Linked DNA regions of Tribolium castaneum. The protein of the gene in region 2 interacts with the protein of the main gene of each other region in a pairwise test. Links are inferred from orthologs where the notes say so. Each region holds a gene or a part of one and is shown on either strand. Other genes may lie near its edges.

Region 1 (8,598 bases), about 11 Mb from region 2:
ATCGAGAAAGCGCCGCTTTAAATCGAAAGTATTATTACTTAATTAGTAATCTGGTGTTTATAATCATACACATTAGTGAATATAGAAAGTTCACATTCAGATTCTAGAACAAATGTTTGGCTAATGCGTATTTTTCAACTCGTGTATGTACGTACTTCGATTTAGAACAGTTACGGAGAAAGTGGAAAAGAAGATGGTCGGTTATTCAACAACGTCTGCTCGTATTGACTATTACAGCACACGATTCCGCGATCAATTTAGAAACTTGATTCATGCCTTTCTTCACTTTTAACAATTAGTTAAGGACAGTCCAGAAAACTCAACTTTATATAACAGCCATCACTCAGAATAGCAAAATCGGCGAAAAAATCCTTACATGCAGGCGACAGTAATTATTACATCCGCATAATCTAAATTTCCCGCATACTTTTCTATTCACTGGAAACTAACATCTTATACGAATCGTACGTTACACAATAATTTCATTATATCTGCTAAACTTTCAAATAGGATCTTACTTTGTCGTGTGTCAATCCGCTGAAAGGTGAAAGATTGTTATTAATCACGTGCTGCGCTAACAGGCAATACTTTGTAACATGATTTTCCGGTAAAAACACTTCTTGTCGCCAGTAATTATTTTATTGCACGTGAAGATAATGTGGGTTGCTGCTTGAAAAAGGCATAAAATTCAAAGCAATGACCGGAGGCATAACTGTCACTCTTCAATGAGAGTGGGCATACACTCGAGATTTTATGATACGGAGTTGCTTTCGCTTTTAGTGTTAAATTAAATTAGATAAAAAATAATAAAATGAGTATTGTGTTACTCGCTCGAACTTAAAAGCGCAGCTTGTGCAACTCCAAATTATGAAAATATTGAAGTAATGGTGTCATCTGAAACAAAGACGATTTCTATATTACTGCAGCAATAAGAAGTGAAACGCGGTGCAGCATTTGTTATTGCCACATGATAGTCCCTGCTATTTGCGTAATAAAATATTATAAAGTCTAATAAGAATGCCATTTGACAAAATGCAATAAATCATTTCCAATTATTAGAAACTTTGTTTTAGTCGTTTAGTACCAGAAGCGGTCGTTTGTTTCCATAAAACTGAAAAAATTTCACCGCATTGAATAATGTCCGATTGGTAAACTTATTAAGCCTGTAGCACATCTGCTGCTCTTTCTAATCGTAATTGGATTTAATTAAACACATAACGCATTGCATCACATTCGGAAGAAAGTCGTTGCGACCAGTTACAACAATTGATGAGTTTGTAAAATTCTTGTTTCAGCACCAACTGACACCATGAAGTTTGTTTACCAGCATTCAGGATTTAAAGATTAATTGACGAGTGACTATTTAATAAATTAACAATTACAACAGCCACAAATTTCTTCCTAAATTTTTATCAACATATTTAATCAAACCGGTGATTATTTAAGTAAGTGGCTAATTTTCTCACACTTTGCCAGGTGCTCCGAACATTTTTTAGTATCAAACGAAGCAAGCAATTGGTGGTTTGATGTTACGTGTTTAGGTATTGGTGGTTTAGCTAAACGCACATAATTATAGCCAAGTTTGATAAATGTGTTTTGCTACTGATTAACCAACCACCTCAAATTTTGTTGTTATTTGTTGAAAATTGGGACAATCTGATTATGTAAAATAAAATCATAGAGATTAAGTTTCGCAAGGCAATACTAGTTTTTCGTCCAGCTTGTCCCAATTATGTTGGGTACTCTAAAAACTCGTCTTGTGAAAATAATACAAGGTGTACATTTATAATAAGAATCAATACGGGGAAGAAAACAATGGGATAATTCGCTGAATTACTGATAAATAAATGTTTGCTTTATCAGATCAGCATCGAATTTGTGATTGTTCGCATTGCCGGTGTTCATTTGAGCGAATTAAGTTGGGAATTGTGGGTATAAAGGAGTCGTCCCATGGTGCTCTGTCCACCGAAGATAGCGGCCACCAAGCCAAGTCAACCGTCTCTTGTCACTGCATGAGTAGAGTCAATCCCTGGCACGTGCCCTAAACGAATCCTTGTCAAACTACAACGCCCTGATAGATTAGCAATGTTATCTCTTGTCCGGCAAAATTACGCAAAATTTATTTAATTTGAGCACAGCGTCCATTTCGAGCTTCCGATTGGTATCGGGATTTCTGGTAATTGCCGGTTTGACGTCAAGCTTTCGCCATAGAGCTTCCCCACAGAGGCACTTCTCGCCAGTTCTTATCACAACATCGCGTAAATTGAAATTCATTCAAGCTAAATGATCAGTCTAGTCTTGGCTGAGCTTCCAAAACGGCGACCCGACAAAATGTTTGAGCGATTGTACATGTGACAGTTTGATTCTGGTTTCAGTGAAATGGTGCATGGTTTAGGAGGATTTTCCATTTTTGAGCATTAATTGAAAAGCGGCCGCCGTTTATTTTTAACCCCGCTAAGCGCCCACGCCGTTATCAACTCCAGTTTCATACCGCTACGTTTTTGTTTCGCGGGGTCGTTTATTTCACGTCTGAATAACGACGAAATTTAATTTTTTATTGAGCCCCTCTGTTGCCTTGCCGCAAAAAACTCCATTACGCGTTGTCACAATTTTTAAGGATGCTAAAGCGGACTTCATATAAACTTATAGTATTTTTGTAAGAACGTTCCTAACGATAAAGACCTGTTGATTCTCAACGTAAAAAATGCAAATGCAAATATTTCCGATTAACTGAATAAGAAAATTAAAAGCGCTTTTTGGAAAAACAACACATTTCCTTTGAAAATTAAAAAAGTTTTTGCTAATAAAGCAAAAGGCCAGAGTCATCCTTTAGAGTTTGGGGAGCTTTAACTTGGTGTTGAGCTAAAATTAAAATAGGATCGATTTTGTTGGGGGCTGGTGGCGTTTTCCGGGGCGAAATCGGGAAGCGTCTCAGGAATTGGATGGCAAAGTTATGACAGGCTGACGGTAGCGGATCGTGGTCGGCGAGATTGAGGACACAGGAGGGGTGGGCGCTTTAATGAGTGATTTAGCGGCACAAAGCGAGTCCCTGGAGGCCTCTATCAGGCGAGACCAGGCGCCGCTGTGCTAAAGCGAAGCGCCCGGAGATGTACAAGTGTGCGAGAAGGCTGTTCCACCTCACAAGTTCCGCTCGTCGCTAATCCGTACTACTTTAATCATCCAACTATCATTAGAGCATCTACGCCCGGATTCCGGATTATTACTGCTACCGGAAATGATTAGTGTTGCACAACTCTCATCATAAATATCTCCCACATATCGGGGAATTCATATCAGTGAAAGTGCTCTCGATGGAAATGAAAATACTCTCGCTTTTAGGTCGAGAATTTGAAAATGTTTTTTGATTTAATTATGTCCTTTTTTGTCTACGAAAGGCAAGCAGATGTGAGCAATCTTGCTTGCCTGCGGGACGACACGTTCGCTGAATTTACTACAAGAAATAAACACGAAATGTCATCGGAATTTAAAGACACGCCATTTGGGCCTCAATAATTAAGTGTTTATTAACAACGTACAAATCATCGAATTACATTTAAGAAGATATTAAAACAGAAAAAAATTAAAACAATGGCATTGAAAACTAACAGACAGCAATTTTTTGAGCTTCTTGCAGCTGATCGATAAGCTTCTCATTCAGCAACACCTGAAATATAGTAGATGCAGTGTGTTTCACACAACTTACGAGACCTCCGTCTAATGTATACCTACCCACAAAAACCATTGTTTCATTATAGTCATGATTTATTTTTCAGAAACAATTATAACAATTATAAATACCTAGGATGTACCTAATTGTACCCATAAATATAATTTTTTTTATTTACTTGTTTACCGCTGTTATTTTCTTACGTGATTTCAGCCTTTTCTGAGTAATTCTTAAGACAGAGTCTCATTATTTTACAAAACTTCGTTTAAAGATGTATAGTATGATGTTTCAGCACATTTAGCTCTTACACACCCTGATTTGTGCATGAAATAATTTATTAAGTATTTGTCCTCTGAAATCTTTATAAAATAAAATAAGAGACAGTCTAAGAAAAGTCGGACAGTTCTGGCTTAAACTAATAAACAACTTTCGCGGCGTTGGTTTTATTTGTGATTTCTTTGTAAAAGCCGTCATTGTTATTTGTTTGTAAGTTCTTAAATACATTGCTGAATAGAAAAAGGAACATCTTTTTCAACATTAAAAATCTTACTTTTCAAATTACTTACGACTGTAAGAACTTTTTGTCAATGATTTTGTATTAATAAAGAAAAAACATGCACAATGTTATAGAAAGAGAAACGAACAAAGCAATAATTATATTTTAGATATCGTAAAAAGAATAACTACGTAAACCTAATCAGCAATAAAAATAAATTAATAGTTGCAACTTTTAATAACACAAATTAAAAACTATTATGTATGTGAATAATTTTTTTGAAAGTCATTTCACCGGATAAATGCCATTTAAATTTTTACTCAAACTTACTTATAAATCGACTTTTTTGTCACTTTATTATGACATACTTAAGAAATTATTGTCGACATAACATTCTTACAGTTTCTTTAAATAACATTTGGTCGTTAACTGTAATAGTATGCAAATCTATTTTAATAAAGTTTAAAAAACTCTTCTTCTAAATTTACTCACAATGAAGATTTGGTCTGGATTCTTATTTAAATTATTATGGTTGTTTTAAATAAGTGAATAAAGGCAAGATCAAATTATTAGCAAACTTTTTGATTAGCTTGATTAATTAATTATGCTGTAAGGCCGCTCAACTGTAAAAATAATTATTGGGTATGACGGACAGAAGCAAAACCTGAAAAAAGATGTGGGTTCCACCTTTTATCCACTATCTGAATCTCCTTGGATAAAATGAAAATGTGTCTAGTTACGGTAATTTCGCTATGCATCACTAATTAGAGTAATTAGCGATAGTTATGAGGGTTAGGAAAAAAGGTCCAGGAAGCAGGTGTGGTAAGCATAAACGTAATGATTTTCTTCTTAATTATTTATTGTTCCAGTAGAGTGAATAATAACGATATTTAAATATGTTGTTAGCAGAGAACATCGTTTTGATGGAAAAACAGTAAAAATGTAGTTATACTGGTATAGAAAAATAAAACAGCTTGTAAAATAAAAACGAGCAACCTCCTGCCTTTGATATAAATTATGATATTTTAGAAATTACCTCCTCCACCTGTTCCTTACTAAACATATGAAACAGTGCACCAGGAGTCATTGTCATGACTTCAACATTTGAAGAATTCAATTTCTCTTCCATCACTTGCTTAAGAATTGTTAGTGCCGCTGTTGTTGCTTCACTTAGTGTCATACTGCGGTGGTAGACCTCCTGCAAGCTTTGCTGAGCCCCTTCTGAACCAGATCCAATCGCCTTGGCATCAAACTGAACGAATGTACCTATAGTGAAAAAATAAAAAACTTAGATTAACATAATTATTAAAACCAACCAGAGGGATCCATATGGTACAACTGGGGCCCCTTTTCGTCAATCCCAGCAAACAAAATGGCAACACCAAATGGCCTTGACATTGCTGCACCATCATCGTCAGAATCGCCAAATTGAATCGCTAGATTCGACACAGCTTGGGCACAAGATTCCACACTCATGTTTTCGTTGTAGACAAACCAATGGTTTTGGCATTCCACACGTGCCCTGGCATAATTTTGATCAACTACATTTTTTTATTTTTTTTATTATTTACCTATCAATCATTGTTCTAGAGTCTGCCATAAGGCCAGACACGGCACAACCAATATGTTTATCAACTTCTACAATTTTTTCTATTGTTGTGGGCTCCATTAATGGGGAAGTTATGCGCTTCTCTACCGCCAACACAACCCCCTCACTAGTGCATATTCCAATAGCGGTGGAACCCAATTTGATAGCTTCGATAGCATATTCCACTTGGAAAAGGCGACCTTCAGGTGAAAAAGTGTTCACACCTCGGTCATATTCACTTCTTGTGAGGAACATCTAAAAGTTTTTGTGAGGTTATGTCACAAAAAATGACTCTGCATGCAATAAATGCAGTCAAAATCGGACTAAACCATTAGTTATGTAAGAACATTAATAAAAAACATAAGTTATAAGTAAAAATTACCTTTATAATTGGATTAATTCAAATTTTTCTAAATTCAGGAAAAAGCCGACGATGACAAACCAAAACACGATTTTCTCACCAAGTCAGTGTCGCCAATGCTACAATAATGATATTTTAAATTATGAGAAATTAATTCTTATTATTTTAAAATCTAAGTTATCCTTCAATTCAAACACTGTATTGTAAAAACGTGTTTGGGATTGCACAAGAGCAAAAAACAAAGGTCCTTTTACATATTATCTGGCTCTTTAGAACCTTTTTTAACGTAGGGTTGGTGCTTGATTTTCAAATTTGACACCTAACCTTTAAAAATTAGCCAAAATAGTATAAAAATTGTGAGCTTTTTCGACGTGAAAATAAATTATGTTTAGACCAATATCCGTAAAACTGGAAACTGTCGATGAATACCTGCAGCAGAATGATTATTCCGCTCTTGAACTTTACTTAAAGAAAGAATTTAGGCTGGAAAAGGACGAGACAGGTGTCCCCCTAAAGTAAGTTTTGTCCTTATTAAGAAAAATTTGGAAGATTTAGTTTTTCAGGATTGAATTTTCAACTCAAGCTGTGGATTTGCTACATAAAATTTTAAAGACACTTTCTGAGCAAAGCCTAAGCAAAAATCATGAAGGAATCATAAAAGAATTGTTTAGGAGTCTAAGGAATTATGTTATAAATTCAGACGTTCAAAATTATTTAGTTAATGACGAAAATTTTCTACCGAATGTGTCCAATTTTATGAACTTACAGTCTGAAGTGATACAAAATGCATTCCAAATTATTTTACAATTTTTGTTTAATTTAATAATATCAAATAAAAGTGCTGTGGATAGAGTATATGATGTGTTTTATCCTACAATACTTTCACTCTTGAAAGACAAGAAAAACATTTACGAAACGTCTGCCCTTTTATATAACATGTCTTTATACAAGGAATTGAACATGGATTTTGACACGTATTCTTTTCTCCTTGAACTTTACGACTCTCACAATAGTGTAGAATATTTGTACTTCATGTTAGAAAAACTAATAAGTGATTGTAATTTTTGGAATTATTACTTAAAATTTGAGATTAATAAGAGGGCAGCAGTGTTGGGCGTAATCAGAGATAAACAGATTAAAGGAGAGGCATTAAATATACCAGTAACGGGTTTAAAAGTGTTAACTAACCAATTTGTAGCGTCTGGTAATATTATTTTTCAAACAGTTCAAAATAAAGATTCAAGTTTGGAAGCTTATGAGATATCGCAGCTTGTGCAAGTCATATCGTCTTTCTGTAGTAATGAAGATTATTTAAAAGTGCTACAAAGCGATAAAGATCTATTAATCAACTCTGGTGTTTTATTAATCAATATCCACAGACTAGGAAAAGAAAGTGAAAATTGTTTTACTTCAATACTGAATTTGTCTGAAATTAGAGAACCTAATAAAAACATCCAAGAACATCCAGCTTTCGGATTTAAGGCGGACTTGATAAGGATAATTGGTAATTTGTGCTGGAAAAACAAAATTATGCAGGACTTGGTAAGTTGAGTAAGGCTGTTACACATATACTTTTTTTTAAATAATTCCTTACTCAAACTTTTTCTCTATGATACAAACGTTTTTTTTTCTTTTGAAACTTTTTGGTTAATGTTATGCCCCTATTTATTCTTTGTTTTTAATTGTCAGACAAGAGAAGCCGAGCTCATTCCAGTTATTTTGGACTGTTGTAACATGGACGCAAGAAATCCTTGTATCCTTTTTTATTGAAAAGACAATACAGAATTTAAATAAGAGATAATGCCTTAATTTATGCAGTCATAATGCAATGGGTTATATTGGCCGTGCGTAATTTGTGCGAAAACAACATGGAAAATCAGAAAATTATTGCTGAGTTGCATCAACAAGGAACTGTTTCTTCTTCAGTGCTGCAAGAATTAGGAGTAACGTTAGAGAGTGATGGCGACAGAGCTATAAAAATTGTATCATTAGATTCATTGCGAAAACAGAAATAAAATGTAATTTATAAATTATGCTTAGTTAATAAAGTTTAGAAAACTGCTTGTACAGGATGTGTGTATTATTGGTTGTATATATTAGAAATAAAGTTTTTAATTTTGTGGTAAAGCCTTTTATTTTTTACCCAAAGATTATAATATGCTGAATTGATATGTAGCTATAATAGCTATAAGAAAAATAAAATAACGTAGTACTTAATAGTGATTAAACGTCAAGGAGGAACAGCGTTCAGATGATACGTATCTTCTTAATAAAATTATTGTTTTTTGAACCGTTTCATTTCAGATTAATAATACATGTAACCAAAAAACCTGAAGCAACAAATATTGTATAAACCTGTTATTATTCAGGTAGCAACAACTTTAAATATAAACTATTAGATTAATTTACTAATTATATTAGTAACAATATCAAAGGTTACAGTTTTTTTAATAACTCTTGGCACTTATTTTTAGCATGAACTTTAG
Region 2 (11,677 bases):
TAACCTATGCAAAATGATCCGGGGAATCGATTGGCATCGAGAAAATTACCAAATTCCCAATAGTTTTTTAGTTATGAATTTTTTAAAATTCTACAAATATTTGCTTTTATCTGCAATTTGCTCGAAAACTATTAGTCGGAGAACAATAATCTTTTTTGAAAAAAATAGATTATTTAAAGAGTTTTCCAACGATAATACACTTCATGGGGTTATCTCTAATAGTTCCGGAGCTATTGCTCGACAAATGTGCCGGGTACCCGGAATCGACCAAAACTGCGACAAAAATTGCAAAAATCAAAACTCTAAAAATCGAAGCAATAAATTTTTTTTCTACATTTAACAACTCTAGGGGGTTGTTAAGGCATATATAAGTCCAAAAAATTATAATAGAAAAAGTTTTAAAAAATTTTTATTTTTTCACTTTCTTGAAGGTAAGTGTATTTTACTCAAGAAATTTTAGCAAAAAAAATCAGAATTTTAAATCCCGTGAAAAATTAGTATAATACGCTGAATTCAACGGAACAAACCGCATTGCTCTACGACTTTTAATTTTTTGTTTTTTCTTACAGAATCTGTGGAAACATTACTTATTATTTAACGCGCAAAAATATAATTAGGACACTCGAGCATGGCCAAACTGTCGCTTGTTCCGCCAGATTAAGTATTAGTTGCCTTAATGGAATTAAAGAGCAATTCCTGGGCCCTATCGCGGCATCTCCACCTTGCGGATTAACATAACCAGCATAACCGTAAAAAATAAACCTCATCACGGGCCAAATCCCGCCCGAATGGGATGCAAATTAGGCACGCTGTTGGCGAAAACGCCCTGTCACCCATTGAAAATTTTCGGTAATCAATCGCCGACTAATGGACTCTAATGGAGCGAGCAAAAATCGAGACAATTATTACCAGCCCTCAATTAGGCCCTGTGTCGGTCCTTCAAGGGCTTGTCGCCGGCTGGCGGCCCTGGTTTTAGCAGTGTAGTGAGATTTTCACGCCGGAAGCACAATAATGGCTTAGGAGGAATTTATTGCAAATTGCGTTTGTTTTTTCTGATGTATTCGCAAGTTTTTTTAATTAAGTCGATGGCAGGTGGGGATAGATCCATATACGAGCGTTTTATTAAAATTTTAATTGCTCGAAATATTCACTGATAATGAACTGTCGGTTTTTATTTAATTACAGAAACAGTAAAGCTGGGATAGAGTGAAACGCACTTTTTGTGTTTTTATTACAGGCAAATACACAAATGCAGGAAATTGCGTCGTTTATTGCTGCTGCGAGCTGCAAAAGTAAATAGAAAATATATAGAACGGACCATTTAAAATTTATGGCAATCCTGGACCGGTTTAAACGCAAAAATTAAAAGTAAAGGCGAACAAACAGGAAATACACTCGTGATTAGCGATCCATTTCAAAGCCAGAAACTCGGAAACAATAAAAATAACTTTCGTAATTTGTATGTAAAATGTTCCAGAGGTTCGATTGGCGACAATATTCGAAAACGGCTTGTAAGTATAGAAAAAGCTGACAAAAACTCCCGTAAAATATCCCGAGTAATCCAAAAATGCGGTTTTTGATTTTTGAACAGATATTATTATTTTTTAATTTTTTTTTAGTTTTGGAAATAATGACATTACCGAGTTGGGCGTTTTTGCTTTGCGTGAATAAAAATTTGAAGTGCTCGCAAGTGTGCGCCATATTTTACTCGTCCTTTATTTTTGGCGAACTTTATTGGCTCAAGTTCACTTGGCGTAAAATGATTCTTTGCACTTGGCGTTCCAACACGAGTGTCAGACAAGCCGGCAAAAATACCGCGTTTTCTTAATATGTATGTGAAGTCTGAGTGGCATTCGACCAGCGAAGAAGACGTTTCACAAACATGCGATATTTTTTCAAATTTTCATCCTGTTTAATAATGAAGATCATATTCATCCGCTTCGAGCGAATAAATGTAATCTTCTCGGAGCATATCTATTGAGTAAAGTAGATATTCAATTATATTAAAATTGCATTCATGTGACACTGGCAAGGCAATCGCGAGCCTTTGATCCGGGGGATTACCCGGCTGGGACATGAGTTTTCCTGTCAAATTTTCACGACGTTATACTTCACCTGACAAGGGGGCTAACCGGAAACGAAAATATTGCCCGGGCAATAGATTGCTGAAGAGTAATTTATTGAAAGGGAATAAACTGAAAAGTTTCGGGACTTATCAGTCGGGATGATGAACGTACAAAGTTCCCAAATAACATGTCATAAATTACAAGGCTGCCAGCACAAAGAAATGTGCCGGGTGGCTCACAAAAATCGCCAAACTAACGTGTGTCCCCAGCTTCACCCGACACATTAAAAATATTTTTTCTCGATAATTAACTTAAAAATTTTAAATTTTAAAAACATCCTCGAACGTAATTTCTTTATTTTTTTAGTTACCATTTGTTTTTTTTTTGAGATACTTTTCCATTTTTTGTTTTATTTATAATTCCTTTGGTTGCCGATTGGCTAACTGTTTGTTAATGGCCTTTGCGCCCTCCTTTTTTTTGTTCCCCGTTGAACACGCCCTCTGCCCCAGCTGTCTTATCACAACCCTGGAACTGATTTCGAGTGGTTTACAAAGAGCGGCCCGAGGGCTGCAGCTATCCGGTTCTGTGATAGGACTGTCGGCGTTATCCGATCGGCTAGACCTAAACTTTAGAAAAAGGGAAAAATAGAGTCGGCTTTAATTAAATCTCCTAATTGCGCGAAAGCGGATAATTAAGCTTGAAAAATAATTTCAATCGATTTAGCCGAGAGAATAGGTGGATCTATTCTTGGGACTCTTAATTTTTTTCCTCAAAGACGCCGTACATAACCCGGCTATAAGTAATTAATTTTCCTTTGGAAGTTAACAGGATTTCTTTGTTCGCTGATTTCTCGGCTAATTACATTTTACAAATAGGAGTTTTTCCTGTTTTGGCTGAAGCGTTGATTCGTACGACGCGAATTGGGGCTGCTTGAGGAAACACATCCATTTTGTTCTCTTCACCAGCAGCTGTCCCTGCGGTATATTAGAGAAAGGGAGGGTACGACATGTAATTATACATCACTTCATTATATTTCGCTAATTACTTTCGAATGACTCCTGTTCAACTTTCTTAACGATACTGAATTCACTGCCGGCATAATTTAACTTGTTAACAACCACAAAGAACGCCATTTTACTTTCTTACACCGAAAAAATACACTTCAAAAGAGATAACTTAAATTGGAGTTTGGTTATTTTCTCTAATTCAACTGCAAACTCATTTGAAACTAAATTCTTGCTAAACCGAAATATCACACGACGCGCCAGACGGGGAGGAATTTACGGCATTAAACGACACCAAAATTTAAATAAAAACTTTACTTACAACAGATGCAACAAAACAAGTGCAAAACAACTTATATTAATTTAAACCAAACGGACTTTTTCCAAAAGTATTTTTCCGCGTTATTCTCGATTTGGCACTTAATTTCTATTATATACAGGGTTATTCACATATGACTTCGGACCTGACCAAGTCAAAAGTGCAACACAAAACACATATTATAAAGCTAGCTGGATTCCTATTATGTCATAATTAATATTTACTGAAATTTCGTGTTGCCTTTTAACTTAGTCAAGCTCGGAGTTTTATGTGAATATTCCTGTATAATATGAGGCATCTATTTCCAAAACGTACGAGTACAATCTCCATTTTCTTACGATTTTTTTTTGCATAAACGAAATTATTAAGTAATCAATTTTAATTAAAAGGATTGTAAAAAAATATTTGTGGAATCAACTCGAATATAACTTTTTACCAACCTTTTGTTTTTATAACATAGTACTTACCTCATGTTTTGAAGCTCTTTGTCTTTTCTACCTACCTTATAATTTTTTAAAGTTTGCTAAAGGAAAAATTATGGTGGCAAAAAGGAATTGGCAATAAGACACCGAAATATAGATAACAAAACTTTATTTAGTACAAAAGCAACAAAACACGTGGAATGTAATAAGCAACGCACCTAAATACTGAACACTTAACAAAATCAGACTTTAAAATTGTACTTTGAAAGCAATTGTTCCCAATCAACTGAATGAAAAAACGGATGCGATTTTAAATTTTCTGGACCATTGGCCCCAAAACCTAGCCGTTTTTGCGGCTCAAACGTCAAAAGTTGCCTCAACAAAGACCGCCCTTCTGGTGACACATATTTGGGAACTTTCAAAACTGTATGACTCGTTAACCCTTCTGGATAAATTTCTGACAAAGGCTGGAAGAAACCAATTACAAAATGGTCCATATCAAAGCGATTTAATACCATTCCGACCAAAAGTTCGTACAAAATAGCGCCATAACACCACCAATCGGCGGCGGTTGTAACCGGTTCGAAAGAAAAAATTTCCGGTGCTACGTTTTGTAAACTTTCTGGGGCAAAAACGTCGTTCACGTTACACATGTAGGTGAGCACCAGGTCGCCCTCGTCGTCAATTAACAAATTGCGAGACTGCAAGTCGCTGAAAGCGTTTTATTTTTACTATGTTTTAATATCTTAGGAGTAAAAATTTAAAAAAATTCATTGACCTCTTGTAACACTTGTGGATAAAACTCTAAGTTTAATTAACGCACCGTGCATTTTGGGCGATTTTTAACTTACTGGCACACAACTCCCAAGGCGTGCACTTTCTCCAACGCTAGTAGGAGTTGCGCCGCCCACTTGACGATGTTCTCGTGTGGAATGAGGAGACTTTGTGCCAGATCCAAGTCGTCGAAGCTCGACATTTCGCTGAACTTCCGTGATGATTTTCTTAATAAATCGGGGAGTTTGGACGGGACAGGTTCGTCCATTAAGTTTCTATTAAAGCCCGGATCGACTTTCACGTAATCATCGTCGTCGTCGTCGCATTTTGTCGAGTTTTTGCCTTTGTTGCTTGCGTAATCGTTGATTAAATCGCTGTAACTATGCTCCGATTCCGGATCGGAAAGATCCATATCGTGCACTTGGCGCAGGATTTGCGCCTCATTCGGGTAAAAAATATCAGAAGGGTCCTCAGACCTGCACTTCACGTAATCCCATAGTGCTTTACCGCTAGAAAAACGCATTCAAACCCGCCAAAAATACACACAAAAAACAAAAATTACCTACAGTACTCTAACACTAAAAACAAGGCGTTTTCGCAATTGTAATAATTGCACAACTTAACCATGTAAGGCACGTTCTCGGGCAAAATCAAGTTGTCGTTCAGAAATTTCATAGTCTTGTGTATAACCTGCAAAACGGCCGCTAGACTCGAACAAAAACTCATTTTTTTTACTTTAATATAAAAGAGTTGCTGGAGCTCGGAATGCAAAACCAACATTCCGGAGGCTATAACACGGACCACTTTATATTTGTATAAGTCGGATATGGGTCGTTGCACGTATTGATCGGCGTTTTGGCCGTTTTCCTCCGATTCGGTCTAAAAATATTCACTTTTAAAACGGCCGCGTTTTTACGATGCGCGCGCATCCCCACACAGCGACATCTCACGAGTGAATCAAACACCAAACTTTTACTTCTCACGACCACTTCTGAACCAAATCGTGCGATTTCCAAATGATAATAAAAAAATCAAAGCTGCTTCATGTCAAGTATGCGCGCGCAACGCGACCTCTCGCGACTGAATCAAAAGCTTTGAACTTACAATTCGCTTCAGACTTTGCACTTCGGGGGCCAAATGCATGTTATAAATTTTTTCGGCCCTCAGTAAATATTTATCAGTTTTGTACCTCACTATTTGTCTCCTATCGTAATTTTTATCGTCTGAAAACCATGATTTATTTAGGCAAAAATAGTCAATTATTAACCTTTCCCATATTTCAGCAAAATATCAATTGCGGTTTTATAAGCCGTGAAAGCGTCCTCATATTTCTTTTCGTTTTCTAATTCCGTGGCAATATTTACGTGAATTGAAGCGTCTATGATATATTGTGCATAATTCTCGGCACAACTGGGAGTATTGGGAGGCGTTGGATAAATCTGACCGTCCAATAGTGTTATACTGTCAGTGGTCGTGGATATACTTATGTTATCAGAATTTTTGGATTGGTGCGAGTGGCTGAGGCTTAAACGGGATTTAGAGAGGGTTTTTTGAGGCACAGAATCGGCAAAAAAATCGCTATTCTGAAACACACGACACACATTTTATATTTTTTCTACCACAAAAATCACTTACTGTTGTTACTGAATCAGTATCGCTGATCGTGCGATCATCATCAGAGTTGGCTATGCAATATTCAGGGTCCTCAGGTAAGTTTAAATCGGCTCTAATTGCATTAATATTACCGTTCAGTTGGTCAACAGGCGTGTGACTCGTTTCAAAGAACTTAACAAACTCGCTTGAAGTGAACAACTGAGAGTGATAACCGACGTATTCCAAAAAATTCAAAATGCTCTGTCTTCTCTCCTGCACAGTCTCGTCACTAAACCTAAAAATACTATCCTAAAAAACAAGGCACGAGCAGCGTAGCGGCGAGTAAGCAATACGTCTTTAATAATATATTTCTATTTTGCGTTTATGTCCTTTATTTATTGAAGAATTGAGAAAATATAATCAAAAAAACACTAAATTGAAATTATAATTAGTTCGTGAATTACACAAGGTGATTTAAAGTGTCGAACCAACTCTCTTAAAATGAATACAAATTTTTTTCCTTAGCAACTATAAAAAAAAATTGTCTGTGGACTCAAAAACTTATATAATCCAGTAAGTTCAAATTTGATTATAATTAACTTTCTTTAAGAAAGATAAAAAATGCCAGATAGAAAATTTTGAATTTAGGGGTTGGCAATCAAGTCTTCTTTTTTCCCCAAATGTGTACCAACTTGACAACACAAAGACCGTTCCAAGGTCACCAATTACGTGTTCTAGCACTGATAACGATGCTGAAGAGAAAGTATTTGTAATTCCGGGGAAACTGTTACCTTTTGAAGTAGGTGGAGGTGGGCAAACTAGGGAACTTCTCTTTGATGTTCAATTTATTGTGCAAGACTTTGATTTCGCGGTGGAGCTTCTTAAAGTCATTGAAACGTTTCCAGACGGTAATTTTTGTTATCGCGTCGGGGCAAGACTCGGGATAAAGCTGCAGAATCAAATATTTGATAACTAAAAATTGTGGAATGTTACCAACCATTGAGATGACTTTGTAGATGGTAAAGCCCTTCCGGTGCTTGCTGATATCAGGGATATCAAAAATGCGGACCCAGTTGTCACCATTCGACACCATTTTTTGACTTTTTGATAAAATTTCACATTTTTTGCTAGCGATAAGGCGGCTGTCAAAGTGACAGCGAACAGCTGATTTCAGGTTATGTCGCTTTGACATTTATCATGTCAACAATCTTTCGTAAACAAATTGTGTGATAATAATTAATGGGATAATAAAAAGAGGTCAATCTTTTGATTTTCGTTTATTTCTTAAAAACATCTAACAATCTTAAACATCAATAAATATCTGTAAAAATCTTGGTTAGGTAACGTGTTTTAAAGCCCTCGGTGCACAATAACATTAAGCATTATAAACTTCTGGAACAATTATCGGTCTTGCAGCTGCAACCTGAGATTGATCGGCTCCTCTGAGGGAGACTCCTTAAAAAGACTAGAAGACAAGTCAATCGCGACGTACAGCCCGCACAGTAGAAGGGGCCCCACGATAGCCCCCTCGACCCCGAGACAGAAAATCCCCCCAGCGATGGCCAAACCGGTCAAATACGGGTGACCGCCCCTAAAAAACAATTATTTTCTTCATCAGAAAAAAAATTCTATAACAAACCCTTTGATTTCCTTATAAATGGTAGTATCAACGATCGAAGTTGGCAAAAACTGGAAAATGGCAAACACAATTGCCTCAATCCCGCGGTCTTGGGCCAACCACAAGTCCAAAACGGCGGGAAAACACGCCCAGTAGGTCCCCAAAAAAGGGACAGCCCCCAGAATTGTCGCAAAAGCTGACGGAAGATAGACGATTTTCACGCCGAATAAATTGTGGATGAACCACGTCCACATGCCGTAAAACGCTGCCATTTTGAACGAGGCGGTAAAGACCCCGTTGATAGCCCCCTCCAAAGCGTGGCCAAAGCGGCGCCCACTGGTCGAAAACTTCGTCATGAGTTCGACTGGTTTGTAAAGGTCGCCACTTGAACTCAGGAGGTAAAACAAAGTTGTGAGGAACACAATCTGGAAGCGATTTATTTAATTGACAAGGCTTGATAATTCCGGGGTTTTACCCCATTCAAGATGAAGTTTAGCACCGCGGTGCCGCCGCCCAAAATCACCGATAAAAAGGCGCTAAATGAGCCAAGCACTAGCCCGATGTTTCCCTTAACTATGGACCAGACTGATTCCAGAAGGGACAGAAGTGTCCCCACGTTTTGTTTCGCAAAATCCACGATTCCGTTCAAGTTGAACATTTCTACAAAACAATTGTGGTTTTACCCGAGTTACATACATTTTTTTACCTGGTGATCTCTGTATGTCACTGATGAAATTTTCCCAAGACACTCGGACCGCGTCTTCGGTCACTTTAGGGCCGTTTGCGTCGGTTGTGGACATCCAGGACTGATAGACACGATCCCATAATTCCAACACTTGCTTTTCCAGTTTTTCCGACTTTGCCGAGTCCACGTCTGTCATCATTCCTTTGACCTGGGAAAAATTCAAAGCCGTTTTCTCTCTTCTTGAGACAATTTTCGATCAGTTTTAAACGTAATAATCGCGAAAAAACGCAATTATCGAGGATTTTACTAAACTGAGCAAAAAATCATTACGTTGGCAAGAAAATGACCAGCGCTTAAAAGCCAGAATTGCAATTATTTCGTGAAATTTCTTAAAATAAATCCAAAAAAATCGCATTCGCAGCGTTTTTTTTTATTTGACTTACCGCTTTGGAGATTCCTTCTCGGCCGTATTGGTACGCATTGTCCAAAATGGAGTCAACAGTGTCGTCCCAAGCGGGGGGCAAAAGCTGTCTCAACTCTGGGTTGTGAACAACAGTCTGATTGATCACATTTCCGGTCATTTGAACCATCATAATAGCCTCGGCATAGATCTAAATTGTGTTGAATTAAAAAAACACACTTCCGACTTGTTTTTTCCTTTACCTGAATTGCTATAAAAACTGACGCACAAGTCACGAAAATAATAAGACCAAAAATAACGACACAACTCGCCACCGTATCAATACTCTCTCTAATACTAGTTTTGAGAAAAATATTTATTTTGTGGACCACTCGATAGAGGCCCCTAATTGGCACAGGAACAAGGGCGTCGTGTCTCTCACAACACCAGTTACTAACAGCCAAGATCGCAATTTTCAACTTATCATAAAGCCAATTCCACACACCGAAATATTTCCCGGCATGCTTGAGACAGTACAACAAAATCGGAAGCGGTAGCAACGGCAACAAGACGATATTTTTCCAAAACAACATCACAATGCAAGCCCAAAGTACCGAATACAGGTAAAAAGTACTCTCGTACTTTTCGGTATCTATCAGACTTTGCGTTGAACTTTTCACACTACTCAATCGCCGATTCAAACTCGTGAAACTCGAGCGATTTTTCAGCGAGAACTGGGGTTGGGACAACGAACGTTTCAGTTCTTTTTTCGGGGTTTTTGAAATCAGGTGAATCCCCTGATTGGTTATTAGGACACTCGCATTGCTCAACTCGGAGTCAGTTCGCTCGAGGAGATTCGATTTGTTCTCCTCGAATAAATCGAGAGAGTAGGGGTCTCTTCGGGGGGATTTTACGGGGGCGCCGTCGCCCACACCATCGTTGAACTTGACCGAAGTCTTCGGCTTGGCATCCTGATCCTAAAAATATTTCTCAAATTTGGCCAGACTGTCCGTGGCTTTAAAATTGAGTTGGCACTTGCCAACAGGATAAAAATTAGTTTAACAGTGAGATAATGAGATACCTCTAGAGGTTCCGACTTTTGTTCACTCGCTTCGTTCGCTGGTTCTTTATGTTCCTCGTCAATATCTAAGGACTTGTCATGGAATGCAAGAGATAGCGACTCAAAGAATGTAATTGAGTGGCCTTTGAACGTACAATTACTTATAACATGTTGATAAAAATTTTAAAAATAATACCTTCAGCGTTTAGTTCGTTATGAATGTCGTAGACTTCGCTCACAAATCCGCCGAAAAACACAACTTGTAAAAAAATAAACGCAGCCATTTGGAACGACCCGAATAAATGAGCCAAACAACAAGACAACAACAACCAAATTCCAATTGATGCGTAATGAAATCGCGTATTATTTTCGGGTTTCCACAGCAGGAATGTCAGAGACATGTAGGCGATTAAAATTAGGCCAAACTACGAATATTAGTTTAAGCAACAAGTTTTAAGCATTGGCACTCACCAGAGGTAGAGAGGCATTATCCAGACAAAAACCCAGTACGAAGTAGCTATAAGTGTAAGCTTTATAAAAAATGCAAACCACCAACTTTGGCGTGTAATTATAGACCAGGAGCACCAAAGGCACCGCCACACAAACAGCGATAATGAACTTGATCCGTTTCAAAATTTGGTCACCGATCAAATCCGACAAATCGTTGACTATGTTGATAGGGATGAGCATCACCCCCAGCACAATGGGGGTGTGAGACACCTCCAGACTCTTGAACCAGGCCTGGAACTTGTCCCTGAGCGACCGCTTAAGGGGGTGCAACACCGACCCCACCAGCAAGGCCCAGATCAGGGGCTTCACGAACGGCTCCAGGATCATGAACAGGGCCCAACTGGCCGCACAACACAGGAACAGCAGCAGAAGGGCCACGGCGTTGTAAAGGGCATGCTTGACGGGCTTGTCATGCCCCTGCGGCAGCCCCCCGATTATGCCGAAGATGCTCTCCAAGGGCGAACGGTGGTCCATCGCGATATTAATTCAACTGATTAAATTTATCGAATCATTTTTAATTTTAGAGCAATGTTGACATCGCTGACAGAAGGGACACGTGAGTGGCTAAGGTCACGCTGTTTGTATTTGTCAACTGTCAGTGGCAAACCAGGTCAAACTATGCCCGATTTTTAAAGAAAGTCAACCACAATTAGTGTAAGACGATGTAATGCTTCCAGAGCACTTGTCTAAATAGTTTCATAAGATCTTGTTATTCATAAAAATTAATAAATTTGAAAATTTCACACGCAGACATTATTAGATATTACGCACAGACCGTGATTTTTGACGAGCGTTCTTACGATCGAAAGTATCAATTTGATGACTGTTTTTTAATTAATTAGTGTATTTTGGGTGTAACTGGTTTAATATTATCAAATACAAATAAATTGTGGCCACCTTTTAGTATTTGTCGAATTTTATGGCATATTCTGTTATTAAGTATTTCGGTAGCTTGCGCGGTACCTAGTTTATTTCGCAAGTTGTCAAATTTTTAATCTTACTTTCTTACGAATCAGCCAAGTTCACGTCCCGCAAAAAATCAAAATTGTAAAAAACAATATATGAATTATGAATTACCGATTACTTCACTCGTTTTTTGTTCTTGTGTGACCGGCGTTTGACCAAATGATTATTTCACCTAAAGTGCACCATTACGGGCAGTGTATTGTTAGTTGCATAATCTTGCGTCATAGAACTAAAATTGATAATTGCAAAAACTGCCCAAT

Evidence for each region. The genes of interacting proteins can lie anywhere in the genome.
Region 1: the proteins of ribosomal protein S6 kinase delta-1 (region 2) and Prosalpha5 interact in a two-hybrid assay, tested with the Drosophila melanogaster proteins (2 studies listed by BioGRID). The link is inferred for Tribolium castaneum from reciprocal best matches to the Drosophila melanogaster genes CG7156 and Prosalpha5.

The regions. Positions count from the first base shown.
Region 1 is NC_087396.1:10,896,497-10,905,094, forward strand, and holds Prosalpha5 (proteasome subunit alpha type-5), read right to left. Parts: upstream 6,250-8,598; 5' UTR 6,134-6,249; intron 6,075-6,133; exon of another isoform or gene 6,007-6,074; coding exon 5,735-6,006; intron 5,686-5,734; coding exon 5,480-5,685; intron 5,430-5,479; coding exon 5,179-5,429; 3' UTR 5,002-5,178; downstream 1-5,001. UniProt on the Drosophila melanogaster protein: The proteasome is a multicatalytic proteinase complex which is characterized by its ability to cleave peptides with Arg, Phe, Tyr, Leu, and Glu adjacent to the leaving group at neutral or slightly basic pH.
Region 2 is NC_087396.1:22,238,637-22,250,313, forward strand, and holds ribosomal protein S6 kinase delta-1, read right to left. Parts: upstream 7,371-11,677; coding exon 7,176-7,370; intron 7,128-7,175; coding exon 6,970-7,127; intron 6,474-6,969; coding exon 6,221-6,473; intron 6,169-6,220; coding exon 5,853-6,168; intron 5,809-5,852; coding exon 5,690-5,808; intron 5,465-5,689; coding exon 5,321-5,464; intron 5,276-5,320; coding exon 5,148-5,275; intron 5,095-5,147; coding exon 4,663-5,094; intron 4,523-4,662; coding exon 4,327-4,522; intron 4,279-4,326; coding exon 4,054-4,278; 3' UTR 3,964-4,053; downstream 1-3,963. Other genes in the region: transmembrane protein 245, read right to left, coding at 7,580-7,769, 7,818-8,221, 8,272-8,456, 8,503-8,689, 8,925-9,092, 9,145-9,858, 9,963-10,084, 10,138-10,366 and 1 more.